3 linked regions of the Drosophila melanogaster genome follow. The protein of the gene in region 2 interacts with the protein of the main gene of each other region in a pairwise test. Each region holds a gene or a part of one and is shown on either strand. Other genes may lie near its edges. The genes, in order: robl, eEF1delta and CG14079.

What was found.
Region 1: the proteins of eEF1delta (region 2) and robl interact in a two-hybrid assay, tested with the Drosophila melanogaster proteins (one large-scale study listed by BioGRID).
Region 3: the proteins of eEF1delta (region 2) and CG14079 interact in a two-hybrid assay, tested with the Drosophila melanogaster proteins (one large-scale study listed by BioGRID).

What each region holds. Positions count from the first base shown.
Region 1 is NT_033778.4:17,451,086-17,461,929, reverse strand, and holds robl (roadblock), read right to left. Parts: upstream 5,459-10,844; 5' UTR 5,360-5,458; coding exon 5,357-5,359; intron 5,294-5,356; coding exon 5,215-5,293; intron 5,147-5,214; coding exon 4,935-5,146; 3' UTR 4,801-4,934; downstream 1-4,800. Other genes in the region: robls54B (roadblock similar 54B), read left to right, coding at 5,769-5,792, 5,852-6,166; CG10764 (uncharacterized protein), read right to left, coding at 6,306-6,682, 6,741-6,877, 6,973-7,021, 7,098-7,703, 7,756-7,901, 7,989-8,034, 8,298-8,508.
Region 2 is NT_033779.5:10,225,827-10,237,371, reverse strand, and holds eEF1delta (eukaryotic translation elongation factor 1 delta), read right to left. Parts: upstream 4,866-11,545; 5' UTR 4,800-4,865; coding exon 4,713-4,799; intron 3,892-4,712; coding exon 3,811-3,891; intron 3,616-3,810; coding exon 3,013-3,615; 3' UTR 2,922-3,012; downstream 1-2,921. Other genes in the region: mthl15 (methuselah-like 15), read left to right, coding at 1-445, 825-997, 1,086-1,341, 1,567-1,645, 1,709-1,887, 1,958-2,344, 2,422-2,585; ova (ovaries absent), read left to right, coding at 7,422-7,667, 7,761-7,958, 8,026-8,187, 8,246-9,511. UniProt on the Drosophila melanogaster protein: EF-1-beta and EF-1-delta stimulate the exchange of GDP bound to EF-1-alpha to GTP.
Region 3 is NT_037436.4:19,088,054-19,099,564, reverse strand, and holds CG14079 (uncharacterized protein), read right to left. Parts: upstream 1,567-11,511; 5' UTR 1,403-1,566; coding exon 1,355-1,402; intron 1,297-1,354; coding exon 535-1,296; 3' UTR 501-534; downstream 1-500. Other genes in the region: Gem2 (gemin 2), read left to right, coding at 1-84; Naxd (NAD(P)HX dehydratase), read left to right, coding at 1,933-2,259, 2,338-2,913; CNPYb (canopy b), read left to right, coding at 3,423-4,088; MESR6 (misexpression suppressor of ras 6), read right to left, coding at 5,001-5,902, 6,125-6,166, 6,245-6,755.

The sequences.
Region 1 (10,844 bases), on a different chromosome or scaffold from region 2:
TGTAAGTATGTAGATATGTGACTGTGTTTGTGCCAGTTGTATATATCTTTCAAGCGATATATACAATGCACTCATGTATTCAATATTTTCTTCGCCTGGTGAAATCAACAACCAGCACACACACAGTATATTTTGGAACAGATGTTCGTTGAGCTCGGATTTCAGGTCCCTTTTTCTTTTACCCCTAACCGCCTTTAGTACAAACTAAAAAAAAAAAAAGAAACCAAAATGGGAGCACACACACATGTGCAGTTTTGTTTTCGGCATTTTTTGGAAATCTTCTGCTTCTGCTTCAGCTTCAGAATTTGCAATTTTCGGTTTTTGCCAGCAGGTCTTTTCCGGTACCTATATAGAACATTCTTTTGTGTGCTCCTTTTCGAGCGAAAACAAGTGGTTGAAGGGTCAAAAGTGCAGCGGCTGAAAAGGAGAAGCGAGATAAAGATGCCGAAAACAGAGAGCAGGTGTTGCAAATCCTGCAGAGAGAATTGTTTAGCGATTGGCAATCCAAAAATAGGTTTCCCACTGGTATTGGTGTTAGTTATTTTGCTGTGTACCCTCGCAGAGTATACTAGATTTTACATCATTAATGAAGGAAATTCGGAATCCTTTCTTCTCTCTTCATACTCACGAGTATCAAGAGTCTTGATGTAAATGTTACAATTTTTTTTTTTAGGTATTTTAACATATTTAGAAAAGACAACAGTGTCAGGGTATTAAGAATTCGGTTCGACGCTATTTATGTTTTGGTTTTGTTCGAACCAGCAGAGCGATAAGGCTGCGACTTCACATCCCATACTATATTATTAGCTTTATGGTATAACTTGGGGTACTTGTATGTATTTGCCGTGTTATCATCTGACTCTGGCTATGACGATTCCTATGCCGACACGCGCACGCAGCACATGCCCCATTCATAATCCCCGCACACTCCCGGCACTGTCCAGAAATCCCACCATGTAACACACCTATATCTAATCGCGCATATAAATTTCACTCCCAGGGAATAGATTTTTCCCTACTCCGAGCAAACAGCGACTTTAATACGCATGTTTTCCACTGTTTCCCTTCGCCTGTAGTCTGTAATGAAATTAAAACTAAATTCTGTTCGCCACGGGGATGAAAATCGAGTTTTCGATTCGCCTAAGGGAAGAAAGCTGCTGCCTGCATACATATACATATATCTATATCTGTTGTGTCTGTGTGTGTGTGTGTGTGTCTGTATGTGTGCGGGGTGGCTGTGTCAACCGAAGGACTACTGTGTACTTTTGTGTAGCTGCTGCAGCAAACTCGGTCGCTTTCCGATCGAAACTGCTGCAGCTGTGTGCCTCGAAACTGCTGACTGCTGACTAGCTGGGGCAAAAGTTTCACCGGGGCCTGGTCAGCGGGTCGAAAGTTCAACGGGAGGAGACCTTCGACGCGCTGCTGTCAGAACGAACAGCTTTTGCCAAGATGCTGGGGGATGGCCTACCAATAAGCAGCCAATATGGCAGGAATCCGCCCAAGAAATGGTTGCTTAACTTAGCCTTTAAAATCGATCCTACAGTACTGCATTGTCACACCCAAAACGCGAATTCTTCAGTAAGAAACAGCTGATGAGAAAATGGGCAGCTGATTTCAAGAACTTGCCTGCAGTACATTTATCTGCATAGGAAGAAGTGAAAACGTGCCAAAGTGTTCAGTTTATAGACGAGAATTACAATCGAGACCGTCAATAAATAAGCTTGACGATTTTTTCACCTATCAACATTATTTTAATCTTTACATAGTATATATTACAACCGTATGTGTGCGTCAAACGTAGCAGCCATTTGAAACTTAAGACCAAACCAATCAGATTGTTTGATCAACTGTTTTGCCAAGTTTTCTAATTATCATTATGTGGATACGACTTTCTACGATTTGCGTAGAACAGCTGCAGGCTTTGATCGTTTGCACAGCATTTTCCACTCATTTTCCAAGCTGATTGCGCACTCGGCATTCTTTTGCGCAATTAGAGGGAAGTTGTGAGTTTAAAAGCTGTAGAGATAGATAATAAGCGCCGGGCTGATTGATAGTTCTGTGCTGCTGCTGCTCTGCGAATTCCCAACGCACATGATAAGATACGGCACATTGTTCATACAACAACGAATGGTTCGAGAACCTTTGTTTAGTGTTGTGTGAACTTTGGCCTTGTGTTCGGCCAAAAAATCCGAAGAAAAAAAAAAAATCCGAAGAAAAAAAAAATGGGAAACAAAACGAAAAAAAAACTGGTTGTACTTGGTGGGGAAACTATAGATTCAAGCTCGAAACGATGCTGGTCGCCAGTGTTTCAAAGCCCTTGGAATGCTGGCAGGCCTAAAAGTATCTGTTTTTTTTTTTTTTGTACAATCTAATCATACGCCCTTGATAAGTCTCTGAACTCGGTACGAGATCTTTTAAGTCGGCTGACTAATGAAATTTTAAGGAATTGAGTCATGTTCAGGCAACTGTTTATATGCACTCAGAGAAAATCACATCAAATTAATGATTATATCAATTGGGAGTGGATAACACGAAACGTGGTAAAATACAAAATCGACAGTTGAAAATCTTCGAAACAATAAAAATTCTGTTCCTAACTTGGATTGAACCTGTTGGAAATTACAGGGCCTCCAAAGCGGGAAAACATTGAAAAGCCTAGCCCTTTATATAGTTATCTACTTTGTTCTACAGGGTTTATATCGGAATTTTATGCACAATGACAGTATTAATATGAAAAAACAAGCACAGCAAAGTTCAACAACTTCTACCAATATAAGATTTTCAATAGCTTTGCTTTGACATATTTTTTATAAAGAGCGTAGTATGCAATAAGAATGTATAGTATTCAACCGTATATAGCACTTAATCATAAAACTAATAGTAATAAGCAATATTTTTCTTCAGTGCACTGGTTCATGTTTGGGACGCAGTTTCGCTGTTAAGGTGATTCACTCGGTATATTTTCCGTAATTCGTAATGATTTTCACTTGGCACTTTTGAGTCCTGTTCGACGAGGTCGTTTTCGTGGGTGATCACTGTGTTTATGAACGCAAGTGCGGAGCCATGCGTTGCGGGGGGCTACGACCGTCTCCCTTACACCCGTTTGATGACTGCAGTCGCCCGTTTCCCGTTACGTTGCATTCAAGGAGTCACGCACGCACACACACACACACACACACATTCATAAACGCACGCGAAAAGAGAGCGAACGAGAGATGCATGTGGGAGAGGATGCAGATGATGCAGGGGAATAGACGGGCATATGGACATGTGTAAAATATCCAAAAATATAAAACGAACCCAGCGACCGACGACCGAAACGTCCGACGTAATAAAATCCCTTACGCGCTGCAGGCAGCGACGCTGACAGCGCAGCCACATGCTTCTTTCTATATTGAGCCAGCCAGCCCTTATGTGTTCAACTCTCCGTTATGTACAACAACAACCAGTCCCATATATAAACACACGTACGTACATACAGACCCTGCTCTGTGTCCGCACGTCTGTTTGTTTGTACGGTACGTGCGTGCGTGTCTGTGTGCGCGTCGTGTTTTTGTGATGCCATCGTCGATATTGAAAGTACATGTGTACATACATAAGTACGTATGTATGTACGGCAGGCTATGTACCAACGTACGTTGAACGAGAATCGCGTTGGAAATGAAATGAAATTGCGAACAACGAAACGGTGCGATGACGATCCGATACGAAGTGCTTCATTTTATTTAGTTAATTCTTAGCACATATGTATAGACAGATATATATGCACCGACGACTATATACACTCGACTTTGCCCGTGTGTGTGTGTGTATCGTTTTCATTTTCACGGAACAAATATGGCTGCAGCACATTTTTTTTACGTTTTTTATTCACTTTTTTCACGTTCATATAGCTCGTTTTTTCACCCAAAGTAATGCTGACTGGCCGATTGAGGGTTCGTGGATTTGGATTCCGTTTGCGTTGCGTTTGCTGGCTGCCTTTTGGGTTTCGAAGTGCGTGATTACGCCATTTTCTTTACTCGTTCGCTTTTCGCTGCACGCCCATCTTTCGAATTACCTTTTTTCAATACGATTTGATCGATCGGTGGATCTCTTAACTCGCTGCACACGCGTACACTGGGTCGAAACGGTGGCTGATTGGGCTCTCCAATCAATTTATTGACTATTCCGTTGAGGGGTTTTCTTTAAATGCAAGTACGCAAAACTCACGGGTTTTCACCGACACACGAATCCGTCTTCCTCGACTTTGCATCAGTGTGACCGTGGCGTGCAACGACGATGGCCAAACATCGATAGTCTGGGACTTTGCTACTATCGAAGTTATTTTATACATATTCGATACCTTCTGTCCCTGCATATGGTTTTTAAAGGATATAATTACCACACCGTTGTAATTATTGTAATCTTTCCAATTATGTACAAGCCGTGGTAGTCTTTAATTGCCAACATAACATAAATGTTCACCTAATAGCAACGGAAACAATTTCAAAGGTAACAAGAGAATACATATCTCTCGCTTCGAAAGTATTCGATAAATACGTCGGTGAAGCGGATGCTTAAACCAACTACCCAAACATCAAACAACTTCAATAATTATAATAATATTATAATAATTAATTGTTCGTGTTAGAATTAGCGTTAAAATAAATTTATCTTTTGGAGTCATTTGTTTCAATTAGAGAACGCATATTTCAGTTTTTGAAAATAAAGAATGAATGCCCCTATCAATAGTTATAGCGGACTAACAGCTGAAAACACCTGAAGTTTACAGAGCCCAAAATGTTTACGTGATGTCATTTTATGCATAAATATATTTATTGTATGGAGTACAATTTCATTACATTATAATTTAACTTTCCATTTATACGCTGATGATTAGAATACAGATATAAATGTGCAGATAATTCAGCAATAGTCGCGATGCACCATGCCATTTAGTCGGTTGGGTTTTGGATGACAATCAGGATGAAGTCCTTGTCGGGTGCCACCATGATCTCGTGCTTCTTGGATCGCACCCGCAGGAATGTCATGTCGTTGGAAGGATCCAAGTCCCTCACCACACTTCGTGCCTTGTCCGCCAGCTGACTCATTAGGCCAGCGTACTGAACGGTGGTAGTGTTGTCCAGCGTGGATTTGACCGGAATACCTATTTGGGAGGCGTTGAGAATTAGTTAGATATCTTAGCACACACTGGGGTGCAGTTGAACCACCCACCTTCATTGTTGACCACAATTGTACCCACAACACCTTTGTGGCTCTGGATTCTCTTGAGTGTTTCCTCAACCTCCTGCGACTGTAAGCCATGAAGGTAACGTTATTTTCTTAATGTTTTTGTGTATGCACAACTCTTACTTACCATTTTTTCTTATAATTTTGTTGGAAACACGGCAGACACTACCGCTACCTGCAGTTCAATGAAATAGTAAACTTTGTTTGTTCAATATTAGAGATGCACTGTCAGTGATGGCACATTGTTCATTGTTAATTTAACAGATTTCCACATAAGTTAACAGAAAATATCGATATGAAGTTTTCAATGAGAAAAAAATTTGCAACGGTAATTATCAAAATATTTGTGATTGAATAATTTAATAAGTTTATTATTTACTAACAATACATTAATAACAACTACACAGAATTGTTTAATCTGGCATATTGACCCATATAGCAACACGCACCTTGGAAACCAAGAAAACAAAAAAAATTAGGTTAAAAATTCACGAAACCGTTACTACGAAGTTCAAGGTGTTTCAAAGCAGACGAGAAATATGTTTCCGGATCTTCCACAAAAGGTAAAATATTTCCATATTGAATGTAATTATATTTATTTATAGGTTACATCATTAAATAGCCACCTCGAACTCTACGATATGTGGAAAAAGCATTCGACCTGGTCAAATCGAAAAAACATGTTCGAGATGTAGTGATCCTCAACGAGTCGGGACATCCGGTGATGAGTACGATGGACCGAGAGGATGCTGTCCAATTTTCGGGACCTTTTCAGGCTATTCGAGGAAGACTGGAACGCGGTATGAGTAAAATAGATCCCACGGACGAACTACTAATGCTGAGAATACGCACAAGAACCAACGAGGTGCTCCTGGTGCCAGACTCCAAGATAACACTACTCGTAGTACAGAACGCGCATGATTACTTCGAAAAATGATTAAATATTTTAGATTTCTCAAAGACAATTTCTTATTCGTTAGCGTATGTTACTTTATTATTAAAACATGTACCAATCACTCGTATGTCAGTAATTGGTATTTACACGTGCTTTTACATTTTTAAGGCATTTAAATATTTTAAGATGACGTATTTAACGAATATAGCAAGGAAAGAATCCAATCCGTGTGCCTCATAACATTCGTAAAAACGAGTATGTTTTTCGATGAAAAACTGAAAATGCCCACCAAAATGTAGCGTATCTGGCCATTGGCATTCATCCCTCCAACCACTATGTAGCTACGTTTCTGGCGGGGATTACTTGTGTCGGATGGATCTACCATGCACACTTGATTTTCGTTGATTTGAAATCCGAGATGTTTCGCGCATTGGCTCCCTTCCATTAGCCTGACGTCGAATTGTTCAGCTAAATCTGTATCAATTATTTTCAATTCTCGAGCCTTTTCGGCGTTTTGCTGGTATATTTGCGTTGTCAAAATGCAGATGGGTTTCATTGCTGTAAAAGAATATAACTGTAAATCGAGGCAATTGCTATGATAGTAGGTATGTTCTACCTGTGCTGCTTATTGATCGAACAAGTTTGAGTACTGCTATGTCATTTCGGTAATCATTCGTAGTAAAATTTGGGTGCTTTGAAACCGATTCAATTTGGTTGATTGCGCTTATTCCTTCGAGCACTACGAACACGTATCTGAATAATTAATTTAAAATGGTATCAAAATAAACTAGTAACTAATGTGAAAAATAGCAGTTAATGCACAAGGGATAATCCTTCGAACAACTTACAAATAGGCGGCAACTGTGGGCAGGTCTGTGGCAGCAGCGATGATCAATTCTAAGAAAAGAAACTCAATCTTGTTAAATTTATACTCATTTAATTGTGGAATTCTCGAGTGAAAGAGTATACTTACGATCTGTTATTAATACGCCAACGGCATAAGAACCAGGCCAATAAATTCTTAGCTGCGCGATCGGTGCCGCGATATCCTGACTGCAGCTATTGTACAACATCGAAGGAAGTGGTGGTGAAGCCGCAGGAGTCCAGTGCCGATTAGCGTCAGGAGCAATGGGATTGCCCATGGCAATGTCTCCCCCGGACACGCCGATTGGTAGGTAGTCATTTCTAGCTATTGTCGATGAGATCCAATCCACATAGCTGGTCACGTCGGTATAGACTCCTACTCCACGGCATTCTGGATCCCCAAAGCTTACGATTCCTAACTGCACCTCATAACTTTTATTGGAAGGAAACAATATATTCGTGGACAAGGGACCCCCAGAATCGCCTCTACAGGTGTCTCCATTTTTGGTTCCAGCGCAAATCTGTCTTGAATTGAGATTAAAGTTCAATTTGCGTTTGCACTCATTTCTTTTCAAGTGTAGAAGATAGATGGTTTGCAACATTATGCTCAATTTTCCGTTCCTATTTCCCCAGCCAAGGGCTCTGAACGTTTTCAATTTTTCAACACTCCCTTTGAGAGCCGGATCCAAAAAGATGCAAATTGGTTGAACTCGAACTGCGAAGAAATGCATTGAAATGGGGCTACGGTGGTTAAATTGCATACATACCTGTGTAGACGATACTCTCCGACAGTTGAAGCAGTCCTATATCATTTCGGTATTCCGATGCAATGAAGTCATGGTGCACAAAGACATTAATGACTGTGTGGACAGCAGCGGGCTCATTTATGTTGCGTGCCCCCAACCTCACGTATCTGTATTTCATAAATCCACATATTTATATATTCGTTTTTAAATTAACCGCGTAAGCACGAATTATTGTAACTTCGAACTTCACTTACAGATCATATCCTCTTACCAAGCAATGAGCAGCACTTAACACAAAACCTAGAAAAAAAATATATATTCATTAATATATAGAGAAGGCAAGAACAGTAATCGCGACTACTGTATACCCATTACACAGCTAGGAAACAGAGACAGAAATGCAGATATGCAACATTTAGTCAATGACATTTAAATACCTTAATTCCTACAAATTTCAACGCAACATGATTAGCTAATGACATATGTATGTGTATTATAGGGTAGAAAAATTGTGCATATACTTGTGACTGGTATGGTATACATAAGTTAAAAAAGACACTAACGCATATGTATAATTGTGCCACCGCATTGAAAATCGGATGAATTGAATATCGCTGCCATCCATATAGAATTTGGCTCGGCTGCATCGTCACCACCGCTAATTTTGGGACGGGTTGATATCCCACAAGGAGTCTCTAAAAACTTAAAGTGTTCATTTTCTGTAACACACAAAGTTAACAAAGATAACAAAGCAACCGAGACCAACGACCGCATTTCTCCCTAGGCAATGTACGACTAAATCCATAACATTTCAGAAAGCTTCTTATCAGCTCAAAACGCCTGAATATTAAAAGATCTTTTGAATTTTCTTTTTTATATGATTTTGCACAACTTTTTGGGTTTTCCCTTTTAGTTTAAATTAAAATAACTATTGATAAGAAAAAAAATCAAAGAATGTTTTTTTTTTTTTGGTTTGTGGGCGTTTTAGGATTTGCATTATTGTGCGTTCCTAGAATGTGCATGTTTAATCTCGCACATGGGAATCTCGGATGAAGAATGTACATACATATGTACATACAATGTGTGCTTTATAAGGTCGGAAACATTTTCCTCTATGTGATACGTTCTTTTCGAAGAATCTGGCGTACCCTTTGACCCACGAGTAACTAGTATGTTAATGCCTTTCAATCAGAGAATTAATATTAAAGATTAGAAATGTAACATTGATATTCACTTAGATATGTTCATAGGTAAAGAAAATTGTACATATAAAGACATAAGATATAAGATGTAATAGTTCCTAACAAAACTTTAGTGCTAATCACGCAGACGTATGATATGACTTATTTTGTTTGAAAACCGTTTGTCACTTAACAAAAAACAATATTGGAACTGAGTTCCAAACTGAGTTTAGTTATAGAACTATCAATAAGTTCAGAAACACCTTTTAAAAATAAAAATATTACCTTTTATTTAAAAAAAATAAACTGGTGTGGTGAAACAATTGGAACTAGTATCTTGTCAATTAAATGGCAACTCTATCGTTCGAAGAACTTTATGGAACACACGGACGCAATCTGAATTTGTGAAAATGGAAGACTAGTCTCTTTTTCGACGTGGAACGGATCAGTCGGTAAAAAAGATAACGCGGCTGCGAATATACACACTTGTATATTTTATTTTAAACTTTAAGGTTTATTGGTATTTAAATTTGTCGCGGCAAATCAGTTGCTTGTGTTAAAGGTTACTCTTCTTCAATGTTTTAAACAATAATAATAAGTTTCCAGTGAAAAATATTTAAATAACAAATTCTGTGAATTTAAGAGAGCGTTAAATGTTGCTCTCTTCTAACACATTTAAGAATTCGCACATGTGTGTGTGTCCAGTCACTTCATGGATACATTTGCACAAGGCTGTATTGGGCATTAATGAAACATTTTTAAAGGCAAAAATGTGCATACATATGTATGTGTTTGTATGTTAAACAAACGTACGGATGAATTTTGGCAGTGAAAAATAAAAATGAGAATCTACATACACATACAAACATGTGGGTATGTATAATAGAAAGAAGGTAGAAAGCAGCTTTCACAAGCCGAAGCCAAAATACCCTTGCACTCAATGTATTTAAAAAACTAGAGAAAATGCTATAGTTGTGGAATTCTATTGTCGTAGGCGTGGCAAAAGGTTTTTTGGTAAATCGATAGAAATGTACAAGAGAATGTAATTAATATGAAAAGGTAACAAAAAATTTTGCAAAAGTGTGGGCATGGCAGTTTTGGTCGGTTTGTTGGCGTAAGGGCATTATCGGTATTTTCCTATTTTCAGCTATATGATGCAGTCGCCTAATTTTGATCAAACTATAACTAAAATTGTATATTGTCAGAAACAACGAGCATGAATTTATAGTCAATTTATCTTTTTATTATTTCTTATCTAAAGTTATATGCATATAGAATAAAAACAGATACGAGCTTCCTTAGAAGCGGACGGAAATAATGTCTCGAGATCTGGACCTTCATTAAGACAGACGAACATTAGGACAAGGCCAGGTCTACTCAGCTAGGGATCCTGATCAATGTATATGTATTTACTTTAAAGGGGCGTAAACTTGTATTTTACATGTTACATACTTTCAAGCGAATCTAGTAAACCCTTTTAATTTACAAGTAACGAATATAAAAAGTTGAATGGTAGCGGGAGAAAATTAATTGTATAATATAATATTATCTTTGTTAATCCAGAGTCTTGGCAACTTGTGCACACAATTTTTTTTTTTTTTTTGGAAACTGAATCAGTTAATTGTGCCAAAATTTAGAGTGTAGATTTCTTGGAAATCTCAATGAATTTTATGGTCAAGTTCCAAGAAGTGAAATGCTTAACAAACAACAAAAACAAAACACACAAAAGCAAACAAATTATGCAGAATTATCGGATGTATTTTATATGTATGTATGTACATACATATACAAAGAATAATAAATGGGTGGGTCTGTTGGCTTCTATGGAATTTCCAATTTAAGCTGCAATACATGTACATTTTAACGTCTTTCTGTACGCTCTCAAATAAAAAAACACAATTTTAGGATTAATAAAAAAACAGATATGTA
Region 2 (11,545 bases):
AAACCGGGCGAAAGCGATTTCTTTGTTTATACTTCCATCATCAGCAGTCCAATTATATTTTTTGATAACACCCTAAACTGTTCCGACCACAGAGCACTCGTGGAATATACGTTGTCCTCCGGAAAAGTGCACTTTCATAATAATTCGTTGATTTGGAAAGATGGAACCAACAGTTTGCCCAGCTCCAAGTTTTGCATCGAAGCTATTCACGACTCCGACGATGCGGATTTGGATAGAGGTGCATTACCGGAACAGAAGTTTCTGGTGCGTGCTTGTCAGGAAATGAAAATTTGCCAAAAAATACCCTGTATTCGTCGTTGTTGTGCCGAAGGTGAAATGTATGCAAAAGGAAATTTCAGTACCTATTGCAAGATCGATGGAACCGATTTCAAATTTGAGGGTTTTCAGAACCTAAATATCAACGCAAACTTCTCAAAGCCCTCAGGTATGTCGTCACCAGTTTTGCAGTTATTTTTATAGGTCTTTATAGCAGGAAACGAGCGGCAATTGAACGCAGTAATCGCCCATTAAAGTCGTAAACTTAATGATCAAAAATATTATTAAGAATTGGAAGCAATCGATTTTGATGTTTTCCATTTGTCTGATCAAATAAGTGGTATAAACAATTGGTTTCAAGTGCCAAGCAAATTTCGCTATTGAAGTTATCTACGTCATTCATTAGTATTGACATTTTTCATTAGCTTTGTCATTTTAATTATTTTTGTCAAATTTTCTTATCTGGTTAATCAACAAGTGAATGACACATTTGCCTTTTCATTGACATAGGTCAGATTGTATAGTGTATTGTATTCAATACTTTTCAGATTTCGGTATTGTTCACGGCTTGCAGTGCCCAAAGTTTCGCTTGGATCCTGATAATTTTCCAGACGATTCGCATACGATAAATCCGTCCAATGGCTCGCTTATCATTCATAACACATTCAAAACCTATACGAATACTCAGTACTGCGTGGAACGGGTCAGACCCAATCAAAAGGTAAACTCCTTCCTATTTAAATCGACATATTTTATACAGTAGTGTCTTGTATAATCCTAATTATTTGCCTTCGTTCCTTTCAGAGCAGCTGTATACATTTTTGTGCTTTGATAATAAGGTGGTGACCGGCGACAGGATTCGCTTCAAGATGTATCCCATTGGCCTGCTCATATCCTGCTGCTTCTATGCACTCACACTGATTGTCTACATTTCAATTGCCAAATTGAGAAACCTGCCCGGCAAAATCCTAATTTGCCTCGTTAGCAGCTTGTTTGCGGCATATCTTGGAATCGCGCTGGGCCAATTGCGACCCACATCGAATGACGACATCTGTTTTCTTTCTGGTGGGTATTGCAGCCATTAGGTAATTAGTTGCTAATCCTGCTGGGACGAGGAGACCTACAAGTTATTATACCATAAAAGCGGGAAATCGATAGCAATCACTTTTATTATTACATTCATAGTTATACTCGTCAAGTACTTAATTGTTTAAGGGTATTTTGTCTCATTCTCTTGTGCAATTTGGTAACTAAAACCTAAACAAACTGTTTCTGTTTTGTATCTTGAAGGTTTTTTCGTGTACTTCTGTTTAATGGCTGCCTTTTCTTGGATGAACATTACTTCCTTTGACATATGGAAAACATTTGGGTAAGTACAAATGCTTTTGAAATTTAGATAAACTTGCAATAATTTACACTTATTTAATTGTAGATCAACAAAGCTTAAAAGCTGCGAAAAGAGCGACCTGAGAAGGCAGTTTATTTGGTATTCGTGTTATGGCTGGGGGCTACCAACATTGCTAACTGGAATAACCATAGCTTTTACGAAATCTGACATTTTACCGGATGCGGTGCGTCCAAATTTTGGACATGGTCGTTGCTGGTTTACGTGTAAGTTAAAAATCTAATTAAATTACGATTTAAATATTAAAGTATTTGTATATTTTTGTATTAATTCCAGATGATTCTTTTGGTTCAGCCAGCTTATTGTTCTTTTCGGGTCCAGTTGGCATACTTTTCATTATAAACTTAGTTCTATTCGTGCTCACAATGAAGTATTGCAACAAAGTAAAAAATGAAATATACAAAATGCAGAGCTTGAACAGCGACAAGCCAGTTTTGAAAAGGCGATTCTTTCAGGACAAAACCAGATTCGTTATGAACACGAAACTGTGTTTCGTAATGGGCATCACATGGCTGTTGGAAATAGTTAGCATTTTGTTTTATGATCACAAGAAAACGTTCTTTTGGACCATCAGCGATTCGTTTAATGTGCTACTTGGAATCTTTGTCTTCATTATATTTGTGTTTAAGCGCAGAATTTATAACGAAATTATGTTTAAGTTTGGTAAGTTTCAGTGGCATCAATTAACTGGCAGTTAGTTGAATATACTACATGTAATTTGTATTTATTTAATCTTTAAGGTCTGCAATCAAATCCGAGCACTGCATCGACTAGAACCCGCGCTGGCGTGACCAAATCCTATGCTCCAACCAGCACCGCGATGACCACTCTTCGACATTCTCCTGGCAGCTGTGAGTTTAAGCGCCAAACGTCGACGAGACCCGAAAACGAAGTTATGCTTTAGGATGGTTAAATAACTTATGATTAACTATTTATAATTTGTAGAGCCTTATGAAACTAGTCCCTCAGTTTAATCATTATTAATATGTGCATAATTTAGCTGTGACCTGGAATATTTATTTAATAGGTAATTTGCATTGTTTTTATACTCGTGCGTAAATGAATTTAATTAATCAAAGAATGGCGAATACATGACTTAAACTAATATATATCTTCTTTTCTTATAAATTTTGAAATAATATGGCCTTTTAGCGAATTCAAAACATATCGTTTGCATAAAAAATATCCTAAAGTAAACTATTTACCAATTACTCCCAGTTTAAATGCAGTTTTTTAAGTTGGTTTTTATCAAAATATTTATTTAGACGACTCCCAAACACATTTGTAATGCGGCAAATCCGATCGTGAATTGAAAAATTATATGTTACCCCTTAGATTTTGTTGAACGCAGCGATGTCAACACTTTGGACAAAGTCTTCCAGTTTCTCGATCTCCTCAGTCAGCCAATCGATGGAAACCTTATCATCCTCAACCACGCATGAAATGCTCAGTTTCTGAATGCCAAAGGCAACTGGCACGAATTTGGAAGCTCCCCACAGTAGACCGTCCTGGGTGATTTTGCGGATTTCCGTCTCCATAACCTTCAGATCGGTCTCATCGTCCCACGGCTTAACATCCAGAATGATGTTCGACTTGGCAATAATTTGAACTTTCTTGGCCTTCTTGGCAGCATAGGCTGCCAGCCTTTCCTCCCTTATGCGGGCGGCCTCTCCATCCTCCTCCTCGCTGTCCGATCCAAATAGATCCACATCGTCATCGTCGTCGTTCGCTTCTGGTTTTTTCGCTTCGACCTCGGGCTCTTTCGACACTCCATTCGTCAATTTCAGCTGAGTTTCCAAGCGCTTCACTGTGGCAGTCAAAAGTTCGTTCAACAAGGAAACCTGGGTCTTCAACTCCTTGTGTTCACCCTCCAATTGGGCCAGACGCTTGGCCAGCTCGGAATTTAAGCCATCGTCCAGAGTAACGCCATCGATCTGGAACACACACAAAAGGCTTGATTAATAATTCAAATTCAAGTCCTCATTGGGATATGTTGATCATAAGTACAGACTAAATATATTGTAAATAATAATTATACAATTCTCTACAAAGTTTTAAAGAAACCGAAAGAAACCTAGGAATGTGAACAAATCAAATGTTGAAATACAAAGATTTATCACAATAGTTACCTTTTCCAGCGAGTTCTGTATGTGTTCCCTAGCCTTTGCGATTTCGCTTACTAATGGGCTGTAGTGGCTGCGATCAGTTACCTTTAAAAATAAGACAACACCATTGATTACTTGTGTGAACTGACATTTGGTGTATCGAATGGTTGACAAAGGATTCTAGGGATAATAATTTTTAAGCAAAATGAGATGTTTTATGTACGGGCATCTACTTCAAGTCTGTTGTCATGCAAGCATGCTGAAATACTGATAAGCCTCACTCTAATCAGCCCAAAAATTGTACGTAGTTTAAATATTATACAATGCAGTGCTATGCATTTTGTGTAGTATATTTGTGTAGATAGAATACAACGTGTTTAAACCTTTACTTAACTATAGTATTTCCCTGAATTTCAATAGGTTTTAACTTTGTATACATCGATTTGTTTTTGGCACATTTCCATTGAATAAACGAATTTTGTTGTGTAGGTGTCATGTTAAGTACTTATGTTTTGCATACTATATTTTGTATTTATACCAATTGCCAAACGGAAAGTGTATTCAAAATTTGGCTTGCCAGAGTTAGTTTTCTCTCACACTCTGTTTTGTATACACTTTACGCACATAGTTATATTTTTTAAAAGTGTTAAACGTTCACCTGTTACATACAGCTACAAGAATATACCAATGTAATGTGCAATATGAACACAGCAATTGAAAATCAAAGGCAGATAAATATAGAAATCTTTTAATAGATCATTCTACGTATGTATTGAAGTTTAGAACATGTGTGTTTCGGCGTCCTTGCTGTTAAAACAAACAGATTTGCAATAAACATTGCCGAAACCATTTGAACTGATTTACCGGCCACGTGAAACTGGCTAACAACTTAAGTACTTATGGCTGTGATTGCTTAGAGATTTTACCTTCTGGGGACCCTCGTAGAATCGCTTCTCGGCAAGATCGTAGCGGCTCTTGTCAGCCCAGAATTTGTCCAATGCCTCTACTTTCATTTTTAGTCTTTCGCCCGCAGATTTACTCAAACACGTTGCACAATTGGCTGAACAATACGATAACACGTTTGAAAGGGAATGCAGGTATATCGATATCTACGCCATCGGATTCGTTTTTTATTGCTACTGAAACGATGGAAATGAAACACGACATTTTTATTTCAACCAAATTTTTAACACGTTCTCATTCTCATACGAACTGCTTTTTGATGTGCGAGTAAATAAACAAATTTATTGCAATTTTTACAAAACGTCCATAAATTGAAACACTTATTAGTGCCCGGAAAGAAATAAAAAAAAAGTTTGATCTCAACGTAGCAAAATGTAAGTTCCACGTGGCACCTCATCGATGTTTGACGAACTTTTGCACAGGCCTGCGGATCAACATGTGTGTATACTTGTCATCAGTTGATTTATTGCTTGTGATGGGTTGCAACGAAATGTTCACCACAATTGTCGTCGTTGCGTGAAGAGGTTTGATGAAAGAGGGATACAGAGGGATACTTTTTTTATATATTATCTTCCACTTAACTATTTAATGCTTCTTCTTCTCTTTAACAAAATTTTTATATCACGGACCTCGTCCTTGTGTGCTACTAAAAAGCTAGAAAAAGATACCATAATAAAAAAAATGTTTTAAAGTTTTTTAAAGGTATACAACTCTCCTTTACTTTGTATAAGAGATTAACAGATGTTTGCGTCAGCTGTGTTTGATGGAATCGAATTAATTCGATGTCGATTTTACACAAAAATTCCAGTACATGTATTTTATTTACAGTAAAAAACTTTTTTAAGAGCAAAGTAAAAGTGCAACATCACATTTTGTTCCATTTCCGCGTTTCAATTTGAAGACTGGGTAGTATTTGTCACAATTATTTCAGCCATTTAGCAGTCAGTTCTCACTTCGACTATTCGATAGCAACTACAACAAATGGTTTTTTTACGAAGAAAGTGTTGTGTACTGTAACTATGTTATCATATTTGTGATTGTAGATCTCGGTGTCTACCGTTTTGTTAATCATTGCGAATTCTTGGTGCGTACTGATGGTGATTCTATTTTGATCGGTTTTTGAGACTCCTTTCTAATGGATTCACTCAGTGATATGTATATGCAGAGAGCACTGAGCATTCCAGAGCACTGAGTTTAATGTATTGCCATACAAAATCGGTGTCGAAATGTTCGTTATCAACCAGTTTAACGTATAAGTGTGTACTATTCAAATTATATTTCAAATGATGCTGAACATAGTAATTTTCGTTGAGTGTATTACATACACTCGTCTAAATCAGGTGGGATATTTATACCACAGCATAATTGTGATGACTCCATTTAACATATGAATATTTGTGTTTATGTATAATTATCTAGAAGTGCTTGTGTGAGTGTGTTTACGTATAAAAATGTCCCAAGTTATGCAGTAAAAATTTTATTTGCAAACTTATTCCACTTCCCTTGGAATACATATGTGTGTTTTTCGTGTGTGTGTGCGTGTGTGTGCATGTACACATATGAGAGCAATTCGTGGTTTTTCAGTAAGGAAATCTGCAGTTAGACGCAAGGTTTATGAGCTGCCCCTTTTGCAAAAGTGAAACGCTGGTCGTGGCTCGCCACAAGAATATATAACTCGTATAAACTGCATAGTTAGCATTCGCGAAGCGATATCGCACAAACCTGTAAGTGGGAACATTCCACTTCATGTCAATTTCATGAAATCGCTAGGCGTAACCACTAGCTTTGGTTCTAAACCAAAGTGGCAACGCCTTTGGCAAAACAAGTATTTTATAAAAAAAAAAGTTTAATCATATTGCTGTACTTTATTGGTACAATGTGTATACGATATATAGTACCTAATAAAGGTACATTTCAAGGATTGTAATTTTGCAAAAAAAAATCATCGATACCTTTATCGATTGTCCCCACGGACTTGACAGTCTGTATCTTCGCCATTTTGTGGTTATCACTCGCCATTTTTTAATGTGACCGTTCATAAAATGGTCCTGCAAAAAAGTAATGTTTGCGGTCACTAAACTAGAGATTTCTAGAACAAAAAGGACGTAAACAGTTATGTATTCTAGACCTTGATCCCTAGGTGTCACAATGTACGTGGCAATTCAATTCCAGGGTAGCTTTAATAGTACCTGAGGGCTTTACGATTATACGAACAAATACGGACTTACAGTCAGTTATGGCTGTATCGACATGGCTAGTAATCCGGATCAAGGCTGTAAAGACTTGTTAGTTTCATATTTTTACGAGTAACTGGCCTTCATCAGGACGGACAGGCAGATGATCATTATATACTTTTCAAGGACTATAGAACAACTATTACACGGTACCTAATTGAGTTTACTCATCACCCTCAGTATTCTCTATTGATCTCGACGTTCATGAGGACGGACAGACATACGGACACAGCTAGATCCATATACTGCGCCCCTTACTTATCACAACTGCTAATAAATATTTGAAATCGTTTGTTTGGTTTGGTTTTAGGAAAGTTTAGTAGTTTTAAATTTTTAAGTAGATATGTTATACATATGTAATCGTTTTAATCGGTTATCTTGGAAAACTATCGATAACATGGCAATAAAATATAACATTTTAATTCACTTGCAGTGACAATGGATGAAAAAGATAAAGCTCAACACAACATGATATCCAACCTACCACTTTTGTTTGCGAACGGATATCCAACATCCCTAGAAAAAATTACGGAGTCCCAGTTAGAAAATTTTATTCCCTTCATGGTGCAATGCTCTTTAGGACACATAAACTTACCAAAGAAAATAGATTGCAGTGAACCAGAATGGTGGCCCGAAAGCGCTCCTTTCGAGATTCCGCTCAAAAAGCCGAAAGCATTTGTTGGGGTAAGCTTTTTTCCCTTACCTTTTGATTTCTATGGCTTATATTTAACATTCACCCCCATAAATGGCTAATATATACCTGTATCTATTTTACAGAATTGGATGGAAAAAATGAAAGAAATTGTGGTTATATGCTATCAATTTCACAAAAGCTTATTTCTATTAAGATTTTGTAATGATTTAGCTGCGTATGAACACGCGAGCTTAAGATTCATAAACAATTATAACTCAACAACTTCATTGTATGACAGGAGAAACAACAAACTGTTGGTTACATTTCGAAATGAAAACATGGTAAGCCAAGCCTACTTTGAATAATTGGGTTTTAAAATTAGTTAATTCTGAATTGGTTATTTTGCAGTCATATGATAGACAACAAAAGAACAGAAAGTGCTTGTTGCTGCAAAAGAACAACAGTTCCATTAGCGAAAACGTACAGCATATGATGGTTGAGCCACCACCTTTTGATATCTACCTATGTGACAACTGTGATGCCGAACTTTATTCTAAAGAAGCTATACTCGTAAGTTGATTGCCAAAGATTGTCAAAGTTAATAGTTAATAACTCTATTGCATAACAGGAACACGAAAACATTTGTTGCATGGAGGATGACGTTATACTTTGTGATTCCCCTGAGCCAGATAACAAAAGTGATGGGAAAAACGAAGATATCGAACAGCGCAACGCCTTTCTCTTAAACTTTAAACTGCAACCCAAATTCTCCGATAATAGTTTATCTAAAGAGAAACAGAAAACATATTCATTCAGCGAAGAAACATCAACGGAAACATCAAACAGAAAGAGGCGTTTACCATCGCGGAGAAATCGAACAGTTCATTCGTTTAGTAGGTGTTCGTTTATCCCAATATCATCACCTGCAGGACAGCAATTGTTAAAATCGACAAAACAAACAATATCAATGGATTATATTGCGGAAAGACAGGAACGCCTGGAACGCTTTTGTTACACTCCATTGATCAATAAATCAAATACCAAGCAAAAGTATTTTGAAAAAAAAACAAACACTACAGTGCATTGTACATTTAAAAAGTCACATGAACACAATTATCACATATATTCCTTTCCGCGGCGTCAATTTGTTAAACGCAGGGACACTACTGAGAACTTTTTGTTTTTGAACTCTCCGCTGATTAAACAATGCCGTCCAATATCAGTCAGATTGAAAAAAATATCCGAACACGTAATGGAAGAGCAAAATCACACTGCAAATACAAAACTCAATATAAGACTAACGCGCCACAATTCGCTCAACTCACACTGGAGAATTTCACCCACAAAGGAAGTTGTTGTTGATACAATTGACTTATGCTCCTCGGACGACGATGAGCAACAAGAGCCAGCAATAGGCTCGCCCAAAAGACTTGGCTCGGATGCACTGACTGTAATAAAACTTACACATAACAACAGAAATTTGTACAGTAGCCGCGTCGTCGAGCCAAGTAAATGTGCTCCAGAGCCAGAATCAGTAATAGTTGATAATTCGGTTAAGCCCCTACAGCAATCTTTATATATTTATTCAAACTATAAGGCTAATTCAGTAATTAGTCGCTGTACCGTAGACTCGATAGCCAATCATTCACTGGTTGGTTCCCTGAGTACATCGAATACTTTTGCTGATTCTGAGGGACACAGAAAGGAATACAATCAGGAAAACTGCAATTTTTCTAAGAACTTGGTCGCACTCACAGACTGGTACGCTCATTCGGCTAATTCGAAAAAAAGCACTACAAATCAGACTACTGAGAGTAGTACGTTTGATGCGATTTCCGCGGCTCCGCCTTTCAATGGCACTGGGCGTATAATTTCCATTGATTTAACTTCTTAGACATTTTAATCCATAGTTAAGTTAAGAAATTGTTATTTTACAAGAAAACCTAAACTAAGAATTACCATATATGAATAAATAATTTGTTTAAATACTTTTATATATAATGTCTAAATTCATTTTCTCTGCGTTTTAAAGAAAAGACATACTGTAGAGGAACCCTACTGTTTTGGGATCTCTATTACCACGTATAGATGGTAATCAGCATATTTTCCATCCGTTTTCTTCATAGTTCGAAGCGTTAATCGATGATCTGGTTGTTTGAAAGCATCGACATAAAGTACACGTAAATAGTACATGACCTTCAAAAGCTTATTTTTTTTGGTTATGAGTCACATCATAATTTTATTACGTCATTAAAGAAAGAGAGGGGACGTCAGGGTTAATACAAAGTAGCATTAATCCCATGATTGATACTTGAACCAGTCTTTTCGGTATGTACCTCAACCCAACGTGGGCTTGGCCCTTTGTAGAGTTAACCATCACCCCGCCTATTTTAGGCGATTCAGCTGTACGCGTCAGCTGCTTTTGGTTTGGCATATCTAGTTTTATATCGCATTTTCCATTCATTCCGATGGGATGAAGAATTTGATATAATTTAGACCATCCCAGATGTTTCTTTCCCACACTGTTCCACTCGATGCATTCTCACTGAAAACGTCTTTCAAAGAATACCACAGTAGTCCAATTTATGTAAGCCAAAACATATGAAAGACAACATTTTAAATGTTTATTTTATCATCATATGAAATTTCTCGGTCGCAAACGAAAATATAAATGTTTTCCACCGGAATAGAAAAATATCGGTGATCACAGCGATTATCCATATATAAAATGAATAAAATGGATGGATAAATGTCTTATAAATTTGGTATTCTTTTAACTTAAATACATAGGTAAATATAAAAATTTATTTTATTGCTTATCTTATTCAACCTCAATATAAATAGAAAAAAGCCAAGACATCATCACTGACTGCGATATTATACAGCCAAATAACTGAATTGACCGATTAAAATGTGGAAGTGTACACGGTGCACCCTGTATAATCGCGGATTGCTTGCTTTCATATCTATGAATTAGTTTGGTATGTAAAGTCGTATACAAGAAATGGTGTTTGAAACCAAAGCGATTTTACTGTTCCTCATGGTGTTGTCAAAGAAATTTTCGCTTTTAAATAATTAATTGATGAGTGTGTAAGTGAATATTGTGTTTATTGTTTACAAAAACCCCGTTTAGTCGAGTGATTAAGTGAAACAAATACCAGCATATATATGTACACAAAATTTCGCTCAAATGTGCCACTGACAGCAAATCAGTATTTCTGTACATAAACGTCAAGTTTGCCAGTTTGAAGTTTTAGTTCGCCGTAATGAACAGTGCAAATTACAAACATTAAATATTGATTAATCTATCGGCGTAAGACCGCAGTTTGATACACACATATATGTACGTACATTGCAAGCGTTCGCTGCGAGTGTGTGTATGTATGTATGGTCATTTGGGTGTTTTACTTATGTACATATGTACGTACGTGCGTATATAATCAATTTGTATGTAATGACAGCTGTGCAGAATGCAATGATTCAAAAATAATTTCAAATTGGATCGCTTTCGAAAATCCAAAAGTCATTTATTTTGCTGATTGCCTGTCGCTATTTTTGCATCCGCAATCGGCGAGAAATGGCGTGAATAGCACGTTCTGTCATCGATTGATAAAATAAATATTTTATTACCTTCTAGTGAAAATTCTGGATGGTAGTTTGAATTTTTTTTCAAAATCGGCGTAATTGTACTAAAAGAGATGCATTTATATTTTTCCTTACTAAGCTTAACATTTATCTGTAAGCCCACTGCTCCTTAAAAAATAATTGATTATTTTAAACCTATTTTAGATATTTTATGTGGTTTATGCGTTGAGTTTATGGTAGAAACACGGCAATTATGGAGTTCCACGACTAGGCTTCATTTTTGCACATGTTAAAAGGTGATTTTATTAATATATTTAACACATTTCCCTCTATCAATACATGT
Region 3 (11,511 bases), on a different chromosome or scaffold from region 2:
GTGCAACGGGCAGCTCCCTACAACCTACTACTAACGCTCACCGTTCAGGTTTTCGCACAGAATGATTTCAAGGATTACATATAGGTATCATATTCCCAGTTTAGAAACCACTAATTTAAGCGCAAATTCGACTATTTTGTTAACTAAAAAGCCAAAAGCTACGCTGGTAATTTTGTTTATATAATTACTCTACGTTTAGATACTATTTTTATAGTTTTCTGTGGCTGAATTATATTCTTTTGGTTAGAAAACAGATTTATTTATGCATATCAATCAAGAGACAACATATTGTTAATGAACCTAAAAATTAGATCGTAAAACATAAAAGTTTAAATATAAAAGTAATGATAATATCTTAATTTGAATGAAGAAGTTACCCATTTAACCCATGTACACAAGTCAATTATTTCTGGAAAATGTACTGAAATGTGACCATTTATTGAAAATATCCATTGTTTTCCGGGTTGCAACATAAGTCTTTTAACACCAAAGGTTTTCTTAAAACATAAGACACAAATAATTTTGCTAATTTATTCAGTAAGAAGGAAACATGCGCCTGTAGGCCTGGCATATATCGCAGCTGTTGTGATGCTCATCCAAAGGAGAACTACAGCTGGACAAGTGGCTGCACTGCGTCAGCGAGGAACTCTGGCTAAGGCTACTTAATTGCGTTGTGCTGGAGCAGGAGGACAATCGCCGTTCCTGCTGTTTCTGTTGGGCAGGAGAGCCAGCTCTCCAAGCGGCGTAACTGCCACTTGGACAACAATTGGATTGCCTCCCATGACACACGGTTTGCTGCTTTCGAGGCTGATCCAAATGGCCCAGGCAACGGCTCTCAACGTGGCGATTGACAGGAGGAGCAGAGTACTCCCTGGAACTGGAGCAGCTGCACACCTTTTTCCGATCCTGCGTGGTCAACTGCGCAGATAGCTCCACCTTGGGCGCCAGGATACCCGGAAAAGCAGGCGTCGCCTTCATCAACAGCTGAACATTGGAGCTGTGGGCACAGCTCAGGCGCGGAAAAGTGGGTTGCATCACATCCGAAAGACTGCCCACGAAGTAGGCCAACCTTCGGCCATTCTGCCAGACGGTTATCTCCAGCTGTTCAGCTTTCAGTAGCTCGTGCATCTCCTCCAGGCAGCCCACGCTCTTGAAGTATCCCTCCATCGTGAACTGATCGTGGCACAGCATCGGAAAGCGAGGCTCCATGGGTCCAGTTCGAAAGTAGTAGCCCAAGGTCTTGATGGTGGCCTCCAAATATCCGTGTGAACAAAGCCAAACACCGGGACAAGTGAGCTGAAAATGGAAGGAGCCTTGATGTCACAGGTACACTTCAATCGACATAGCCACAAACCGCATGGAGCTGCAGATCTAACTTTACGTAGAATCTCTTGTGGGACATTTGCTGCCTGATCCTAAGTGAAAGTCTGCCGGAAAATAGCCAACTGCTTGGGGCGGGAATCGAGAATTGGGGGGCGAAAGCGCATGGTTCTTTGTTTTGGAGCCCACTGGTTGCCGGGGCAGCGGTTGAAAGTGAATTTCAAAGTCGATTACTGGTCGATAACGCAGGGAATTTTGATTGATAAGCAAAAGAGTTGAAAGTGATGTGTATAGAATGTATAGTGTAACTATACAATGTGAAGAGTACTTAAAGAATTGAATAGTTTTTGAATTAATTAAGAAATAATACAAAAATATGATAGTAAAATACTAAAAAAAATCTATTTTAGAATAATTAGCTAACTCACATTTTTCCATGTTTTCATTTTCTATAGCTTTAACTACTGATAATACGGCTTCCGTGGGAACAAAGTATTTCTCACAGTGATAGCAGCAACCGATAGGAAATCCCGACCACAATGTGCATCACTAGTCACAGCAATAGTAAACAGCGGGCACAGTCCACAAAGAAAACCATTGCCGCCGGTAGAGATGGCTGCAGTTTCGGATATTCCAGTGCACCTGCCCAAGCTGCTGGCTCTGTTCAAGACGGTGGTGCCCAAGCTGGTGAACAACAAGCACAAGGGACAGTACGGACGCATTGGAGTGATCGGTGGGTCCCTGGAGTACACCGGAGCGCCGTACTTCGCGGCCATTTCCTCGATAAGAGTGGGCGCTGACCTGGCGCATGTGTTCTGCCATTCAAATGCGTCGGCCATTATCAAGTCCTACAGTCCCGATCTTATCGTGCATCCAGTGCTAGACTGTGTGGATGCAGTGGAGAGAATAGCGCCCTGGTTAGAGCGACTTCACGTCGTTGTGAGTAGCCCCCCCCCCCCACCTACATACGTATATGCTACATTTATACAATTAAATGCTAAATTTAGAATCGTTAAGGTTATTGGACCTGGACTGGGTCGGGAGCCGGGCATCCTGAAGACGGCATCCAACGTACTCAAGCTGTGCATGGACACCAAGAAACCAGTTGTCATAGACGCCGATGGACTGTTTCTGCTCAACGACAATCTGAATCTGATCTGTGGACAGCCGAATGTCATACTCACGCCAAATGTCATGGAGTTCCAGAGACTGTTTGGCGAGGATGACCAGGCGGCGCGCCAGAAAATGTCCCTCCTGGGAGCCGGAGTAACTGTCCTGGAGAAGGGCGCCAACGACAAGATCTATCTCCCTCACTGCAACGAAGTTCACTCAATGCCTAGCGGCGGTTCCGGTCGCAGGTGCGGTGGACAAGGTGACCTGCTCTCCGGATCTTTGGCCACCTTCTTCTCGTGGTCACTGCAGTCGGGTGAACCCAATCCCGCCCTGGTAGCTGCATGTGCCTCTAGTTACTTTGTGAAAAAGTTAAACGCGGCTGCATTTCAAAAGTTTGGCCGCAGCCTACTGGCCAGTGACATGGTCAATCAAATACCCAGCGTATTTCAGACCGAGTTCGAAAACAGCGATCCTCAATAGTCATTTACTGGACTTTGAACTAATTCCAGCTGTTTGTTTTTTAAAACAAGGCGACCATTAACCGAATTTTCAATTATCGTGGGATTTTTAATGTCTTTAACAGAGAACATATTGGAATGGATAGAAATGTTATGGGAATTTTTTAATTGCATTTAAACAACGTAAGAACATCTGGTTCGTTAATTTGAAAGCTGCATCTTGTTACAGATAAAATGTTTCGGCATTCATAATAAAACCATATTGATTCAATTTTAATAAACCGTTTAAGCATGACTTCTGTTTTAATAAACAAATAAAATAAAATAAAAGTTTTTTTTAAATGTATGTAGGATAATAAATCATAAAAAAGAAAATAGATTTGATATAGATTATTTTAAAGGTATTGGCGGGAAAAAGCTAAGTCGTCGGTTCCGTTCGGTTGTTGGTGTTTTGCAGCACTGGTCTTCTCGCGAGCGGCATTTCCACGTCAGGTTTATTATTGTTTTTTTGGAATTTATCAAGCAGTGAAAATGCTCCTCAAAAGACTGCCTGGCTTTGTAACACTCTGGGTCGTCCTGCAGTTAGCCGGAGCTGATTCGCCCGAGGAGGAGCAAGGCGTTCGCTACGCAAACCGCTGCGAAGCCTGCAAAATCCTGGCCACCGAATTGGAAGCTCGACTTGGAGAGACCGGCAAGTCGCACGACGTCATCGAAATCGGATACTCCGTTGACGATGTGAAGCCCAAGAAGCGCACTGAATACCGGCGCAGCGAACTGCGACTGCTCGAGTCCCTGGAGAACGTGTGCGAGCGAGTGTTGGAGTACAATCTGCACAAGGAACGCTCTGACAGCACGAGATTCGCCAAAGGTATGTCCCAGACCTTCCAGACGCTCCATGGCCTTGTGGACAAGGGCGTCAAGGTGGATCTGGGAATACCCTACGAGCTGTGGGACAAGCCCCCGGTGGAGGTCACCCAAATGAAGACCCAGTGCGAAAACCTACTGGAGGAGTACGAGGAAACCATCAGCGAATGGTACTTTAAGCACCAGGATGAGAAGTCACTGAAGAAGCATCTCTGCGAGGACCATGTGCTCAAGAAAAAGGCCGAAAGGGAATGCCTCAAGGAGCAGCTTGCTCCTCCGGAGGCTAAAAAGGCCAAAAGGGAAAAAGCCAAGGGCGACAAGGAGGAGCTGTGAGCCAAATAATCCAAGTATATCCTAGGAATCCCTACCATATTGTAATTCCATGTCGAAAAATGTAGATGTAGTGCAGCTGTTGTCGATGCAATTTTTAAAAGTAACACAAATTTTAGTTTTTGAATGAACTCAAGCATTGACAAACTAAATGTAGTAGTTACTTAAATTCCAATGATCTTACTTTTTTTCGAAATGGAAATCATTTTAAGTTTTACCACCTATAGAACAAAGCGAAAAGTGTTTAATTAGCTTAAGTGAACTCACTATGTCTCTCAAGCTAATCTGTATAACTTCCACAACGACTGAGCCACAGAATGCTACTGAAAGTTTCGCCTGGGGCCATTGGCTTATTGATTTCGGCCACGAATTGGGGTCGACAATTAAAAGTTGACTGCCCTCAATGAGGTGGCCAGTCATAACCCCCAGCCAGAAATTCAGGTGTTCATGCCATGTCCATGTCAATAAATGAGATTTTGCGCATTTTCTAGGAACCTACGGCACTGAATGGAAGAGAGTTATCCTTAAATACATGTACATTTTATAACTAACATTTAGTATTTACGATTAAATATAGATTATCTGTGCATACACATTTTGATTTTACTGGGGCACCTAATATGTCGTTTAAAAGGTATCTCGTCGCGAAACCTTTCAAAGTTTAAAAACAAATTATTTTGAATATACCCAATTTGCATTAAATGAGTTTGTTTAATTGTCTGTAATAAATACTTCGCGTATATTTCAAAGTAAAAAATATTATTATAATTAGTATTGGATTTTCCATCATTAGGTTCTAATTCGAAATCACTACGGGTATCTTTTAGTCGTGGAGTTTTCCCGCCCAAACGAGTTTTGTAAATTCAGAATCTAATTCGCAGTGGCGGGCGAAAGAACCCCTAGTTATCCATAAGCTTAGAGCTTCATCACATCCCAAGGATCGTCCATATAGTGCAGGATGGCTTTGTCGTGCAGTCTTTCGCCAAAAACCTCCTTAAGCAGGCGTAGAACGCATTCCTCAATGAATGCCACCTGATCCTGGGGGCAGTAGTCATCTTGAGCGGAATGGGCCATTGTAATGGCCACTGGAGGAACTGGCAGGCGCTGTAAGAAACGCTTGAAGTTTGCAAAGTACGTTTCCAACTCTTCGGCGATGCTGATGTGGTGGGGCAAGCCATTATTATCGGTGGTGCTGCCCGAATCGAAGATCAAATGCCAGTCGATTTCATCGTCTGGATATTTCTCCTGCAGCTGATCGGCCAGTTTCACAATCTTGGCGTACACTTCGGGCGTGACCACGGTCTCGTCCGGCTTTTCCAGTCCCTCGAAATTGCGCTCCTCCTCCAGATGCCAGAAAATCGTCTTCAGTGCATCCAACTGAGTCTGTCGCCTCTCTGCCGTGGCCAAATAATCTGCTATAGTAGCCGTGCCCGACTTCTTCACCTTCTCCACGCTTTCGAAGTGGAAGATCTCCTTTAGCTGATTGTAGCAATCGGCATCCTTGTATATTTCCAAGAAGGGGTTGGAGGTGCTGAAAAAGTCGAGGTCTATGTCCAGCACGAATCCCTTGGCGTCCTTCTCCGTTAGGAATTCGTTCGGATTGAGGCTTTCGTTGTCTGCATCGTGAACCTGCAGCTCCACGCTCTTGGCATCCTGCAGATCCTCCGTAGTGCAGTAGTTGCCGTCGGCAATAAAGTAGTCCAACGGACAGTCCACTCCAATGCGATCGTCCTTTTGTCCAACCTTAAAGTCGTGCCTGCCAGTGGGCAGCTGCTGGCACCATGAGTTCTTCAGCCACACGACGCGGTTGAAATGTCCTAAGAGCAAGTAATATAGCAATAAGTTATTATTTTACACTAATTTCTATAAGAAAATGCAATTATAGCTAATTAATGTCATTAGACTCATCACAGTTAATAAGTTTTTGGTTTGAAATCCTTTAAATGTAGAAAGGAATCTTTTTGACAACAGTACTCAATGGATATTTAGCAGTTACTAAGAGATAATCTTTAAATATTAAGTTCTTAGTAAAATTAGACCATAGAACTTTTTTATTTGTCCTTTTACATTGTTTTCTATTTCTAGAAATAAAATAATAGCATTTAATATTATATTTCTATATAATATAGTTCTCTTCGATTCCCCATAGAAATCCTCACCTGCATAAAGTGTGGGCATGATCCAGTTCTCGATGCTAAGCTCATTTAACATGGTTTCCTTTTGGTAGGTGGAACTGGCGGCAATGTGCCGTGGAATGACCAGATCCGGATGCGAGTCGAAGTGGACAAGGGTGTTGTTCTGCAGCGGAAGGTGGCGGGTGGCAAAGCAGCGGTAGATGAACTCCAGCACATCGTTGTGGTAGTCGACGATAAAGACGGGGATGCGCTGGAAATGCCTTGGGCTGATGGTGCCGCCAATCTGGACGATGCCCTCGCCATCATCCTCCTCCTCATCAACGCTCTCCTCGCTATCCTCGTCTTCCTCCCGATTCTCCTCCTTTTCGTCTGCAGTCTTTTGTCTCTTTGTTGGCGGCGCCTCTTCTCCCCCACCCGCCGCAACCCACTCTCCCGAAGTCGGCTCCCATTTCTTCGAACTTTCGGGACTTTCACTTGGCGATAGTTTTTTTAGAGCAGCCGCGGCACTCTCCTGGTCCAGCGTATCCGATTCCATTTCCCTCGGGATTACTTTGACTGTACAACTGGGTCCTTAGCACACTGTTCAATTACTTGCACGGTAAGCAGACTTAATTTCTTTTGTATTTAATATTTTGGGGGTCTTTGACCATTAACAGCTGTTTGGCAGTGTGACCAGATTGCTGTCTAGCACAAGTTTCCCGTATTGCTAAAAATGGTAGCCCTATAATAAGGTCACATTACATAGGACCCAACTATCGATGTATCGATTAAAGTTGTGTCCGTTTAATTTAAAAGTTTTTTCTACACATTTTCCATATATTGTACCTTATTTTGTCAATTACTTGAGACGTTGAGTATTTTTTGATATAACTTAAAATAAATTTGATTTTTTAAAGCATTCGCTTTGAAATCTAGAATCTAGAATGTAGAATCTAGAAAATGTTAAAAATGTTAAAAATAACAAAATTTATTAAAAACTAAAAAAAAAAATATTTTAATATTATCAAAATAGTACACCTATTTCTATATTCATATCACTTTGATAGTGGTAAACGAAAATAAGAAGTAAGGAGAGAGTATCTCATAGTCGAGACACTAGGGAGTAACCTTCTTCTTGCGACTCTCGTGCAACCAAGGAAAGATTTGAATTTCAATTTGCAAGTTCTTGAAACAATTTTTCGAACAGCAGTGTTCATTAATTAAACAGCACTTTATAAGCTCAGCCAGCACACGAGCTCTTTGCCATCCGCAATCCAAATGTCTCACACTCCCCTCCAGCAACTCGCCCCCCCCCCCCACAAGACCCTTTTATCCTCAACCTTCGGCCCACCGGCCACCCACATTTCAAGGTTACTTCAGATTTGGAGACTTTGCCTCCAATCAATATTCCGTGTGTATCCGCAGCTTGGACGCTGGCATAATGCGATTGCCATCGAGCGAGTGATGGGGGGCGGGGGTCGGGGGGTGCTGAGCGGCCTCTGGAGCTTTTAGCCCCCAAAAAGCTGGCCCAGCGTTCCGCCCACGCTGCGCAGAAGCTTTTCATTCATAAGTTTTTATTATATCTGTACATATGTAGTAGGTATATATTTGTATATCTATGTGTATATATATACATTTGCATTTGCAGCGGAGGGAATCGGACGCCCACATGGCTGATTGGAATGCGTAAAACACTGCCGCTGTGTGTGTGTGTGTCTGTGTATCTGCGAGTTCGACTTTGTATCTGTATCTGAGCGCTAGTATCTGCGTTCGTCTTTTTCGCCCTTTGCAGCTGGTGGAAATGAATGGCGCGGCTCGGTTGTCTGGAAAAGCGCCGACAGCGCTGCTCGGGCGTTGGCGTGCAATGTTTCCGCCGTCGAGCGTTATCAAAAAATATAACTGTATATAGACTTTTGTGGGTGTCCCTGTACATACATAGGCGACACTCTTCTTTTATTACCGTTTACATTTTATTTTTGGCCAAGTTTTCGCGTGGGCCGAAACACCCTCGGTGGCGTCCATTACGCCGAGTACCACGTTGCCATGTAAAATCTTTACTACCACGATATCTTAATTAATCCGTTTAGGATTGAAGTCTGCTCTCGTTGAAGTTTTTCATTTCATTGCCGTACAACTACAACTGCATCACTAGAAACTAGTAATAAATAGTACTTAAAAATTCACACATTTTCTTATCAAATTGTTACCAGTATAAGTTGATTTGCTGACCAAAATATTATGCTCAATTATAGGTTTTAGAGCAGTAATCAAGGACGAAGATTCCATGAAAGATCTATATCTCCATGTTACTTATGTTGACCGCCTAATTATCGAGCTCGCTGGCACACTGAGAGAAATTGTTTTTGATTGGGGGGCTTTCCCCAGCCCTTATAACGCAACGGAAGTGCCAACTTCGAGAGCATCGGCCCCTTAACTCGATCAATTGGCTGCAATTTGGCTTCTCGTTTTTGTTCTTGTATCAATTACAGCAGCTCTGCGCTTTCTCTAGCTGTCGCACCCAATTCTCGCAATTAATTTGCCTTCAGCTTGACCCTGGAGGTCAAACACTGGCTCGCATTAACCTTCGTTGGCCCCTCCGACGAATCAATTGGGGAAGGATGGCACGGATGGGCGATGACAACCACGATGACGATGGCAAAAAAAGGAGGAGGGGGGTGGCAGGAATTTCTACTCTTGATTGCTCTACTTTAAAATGAAATCCTATAAAGTAAACATCAAAAAAAGATACAGATTGATTGAGATTCTAGATATTACTTTTAGATTGCCACTCAAAAATACAGTAATCAGATGAACATTGAGATATTTCAATATTAAAAAAAAATCTTTCTTCTCCACAACAACTTTTAAACAACGTTAAAGAATTTATAATCTTTAATCTTTCGCTTATAATCACAATTGAAGCACATAAGCTTTAAACTTTAATACAATCTTAGAAAGCTTTTATGCAATATTTTCATTCTTTTAGTGTTAACAATCTTAACCGTAAAGTAATTAATATTTAAAATATTTTTACTTACTTAGTACTTATTCATACTAAATCGTAGTTCTTTCCCACGTGATGTCTTCAAACACATGATCTTGACTAAGTGATGAACAATGTTATTTACAACTTTTGCAATCAGTAAGCCGGTAAAGAAAGTGCAGAAAATTCATTGAGCAGCCCCCGAATGACGTCAACAGGATTTTGAGTCTGGCGTAGGTGCCCCATTTCCCTGTAGCCCTGTGAATTTTATTTTATTTTATAACTTTCCCCTTTGGAAGGAACACGTGGCACCGGCTGCTGTTTAAGCCACCTTGAGTGAAGTGGCCAAAGTGAAATGAGTCAGTGGGCCCGACAAAACCAATCCCAAAAGTGAGTACAACCAACGTCATTCGCATTCTAATTCGGTGAATAGGTAAGTCGTTTGGTCAGGTCGCCGTTTGTTTCGTATCAATCGTAACTTTTGCTCGCGTGGGCGCTCAAAGCCAACAGATTCTTTCACATCTGCCGTCCCGACTCGTCATCCTTTCTTCTTTTTTAGCGTCCGGTGCAGATCTGATTTTTTAGACATTTTTTAGCACTGGAAACAGATACTTCCCAAGAGGATTCACATTCTACAATGACGAATTACTTATCTTCAGATGAGGAGGGATATCAGTTCGTATATGGGATGAATCTTGGATTTCTTGTCAATCTATGCATGCTATTTGATATATAATTATAATTATCAAATAGTATTGTAAAACGAAAAACTTTAATTGCATTGTTGCAGAAATGTTAACTTATATTTATATTTTGTCATAACTTGTTAAATTCGTGTTCATTTATTAATGTCTGTTTTAATCAAAGCTATTATTAAATGATAATTTAATTTTTTATCACCGTTTTTGGCTACCAATTTGAACCAACACTTGTCTGGAACGACGTCATCGGAGTGCCCAGAATCATGGAGATTGGGAACATATGTATATATTGAGATATTGAGAATCTGTGAGATACTTCAGCCTCTTCGCTCTGGTCAAACGTCAAACGCACATTGATCGACGATTGTTGATCGACCATTGTTGATTCTAGAGACCCGTGGCGCCCACCGACATCCGCTGTTCATATGGGCGAGTGATTCACAGAGATCTCGCGGAACGGAACTCTGGGGGCTGGACATGGATATATGGATGTGGGCTGGATTCGAGAACCCAATTGCGAGTGTGAATGCGAGTGTGAGTACACACATTTCAGAACGGGCGAAACGGAAACATGAATGGCAGATAAGCGGACGCGCCAATTCTTAATCCCATTCCAGTTGTTTTAGGTCAGTAAAGCAGAATGCAAAACTAGTGTGGGAGAATGCCGTTGAGCTAACTAACTGCATTTAAGAAATAATTATATTGCTTCAGCTAGTTAATAAACGTCCAAATTATTAGAAGGCAATATTCATCTCGTAGCAATAATTATCCTATACTCATATGAGTTTTGTAACTATGAAAAGGTTTCAGCACAGCGATAACTAATAACTTGCTGGGAAATATCTGTTAGAAAGTATACGCAGTTAATGGTCTTTCTTGATAACAATGAGTGGAAAAATAACACCAGATAATGAATAAAACCCTGCAAAGCTCATATAAGTAGTATCGCACATTGCGAATCACGATGATCCATATTTCCCCCATTTCTCAGAACTTTTCACTCATTCAAGCCGATATGGCTATGACTGATCTATACACGCACCATATAAAAACACTCGGGAAAGCGTCATCATCTTCATATTGATTATACGTGGGGTCTGATAATCAAGGTAAAGGCCGTAGCTTGCGCAATTTAGATTGACAATCGTGAGGTGCAGAAATTTAATTGAATTCTTCACTTTCGACATCAGTTTCCTGCTAAAACACAGATAATGCCCCAAAGTGATTCATTGAGCTATACAAGTGGGTTGGGTATTCCATTTTGGCTGCGAGCAGACTTTGAACTTGTGTCATCGAAGAATGGAGCCCGGAGGACGACCGACCTTGGCTTCTACACTGTCAGAAATACATATATGTATCGCCAAGGTCAGCCCACCAAAGACACTTGGAAGGCGCAATTGAGCAGCCTTTTGAAACAGCTATCCAGGTGCTTACTTCTAATTTCTTCATACTTGAGTGATACACTGACAGTAATTATGTACAACTTTCGATGAATACAAAAATTAATGGTAATATGTGTGTTTACACTTTTGTGTTTACTGAAGCGTAAATAAATAAATGCTTAAATGATTTCATATTATAACAAATATTTCTTAGTATTATATATAAATATATATATATATTTTTTG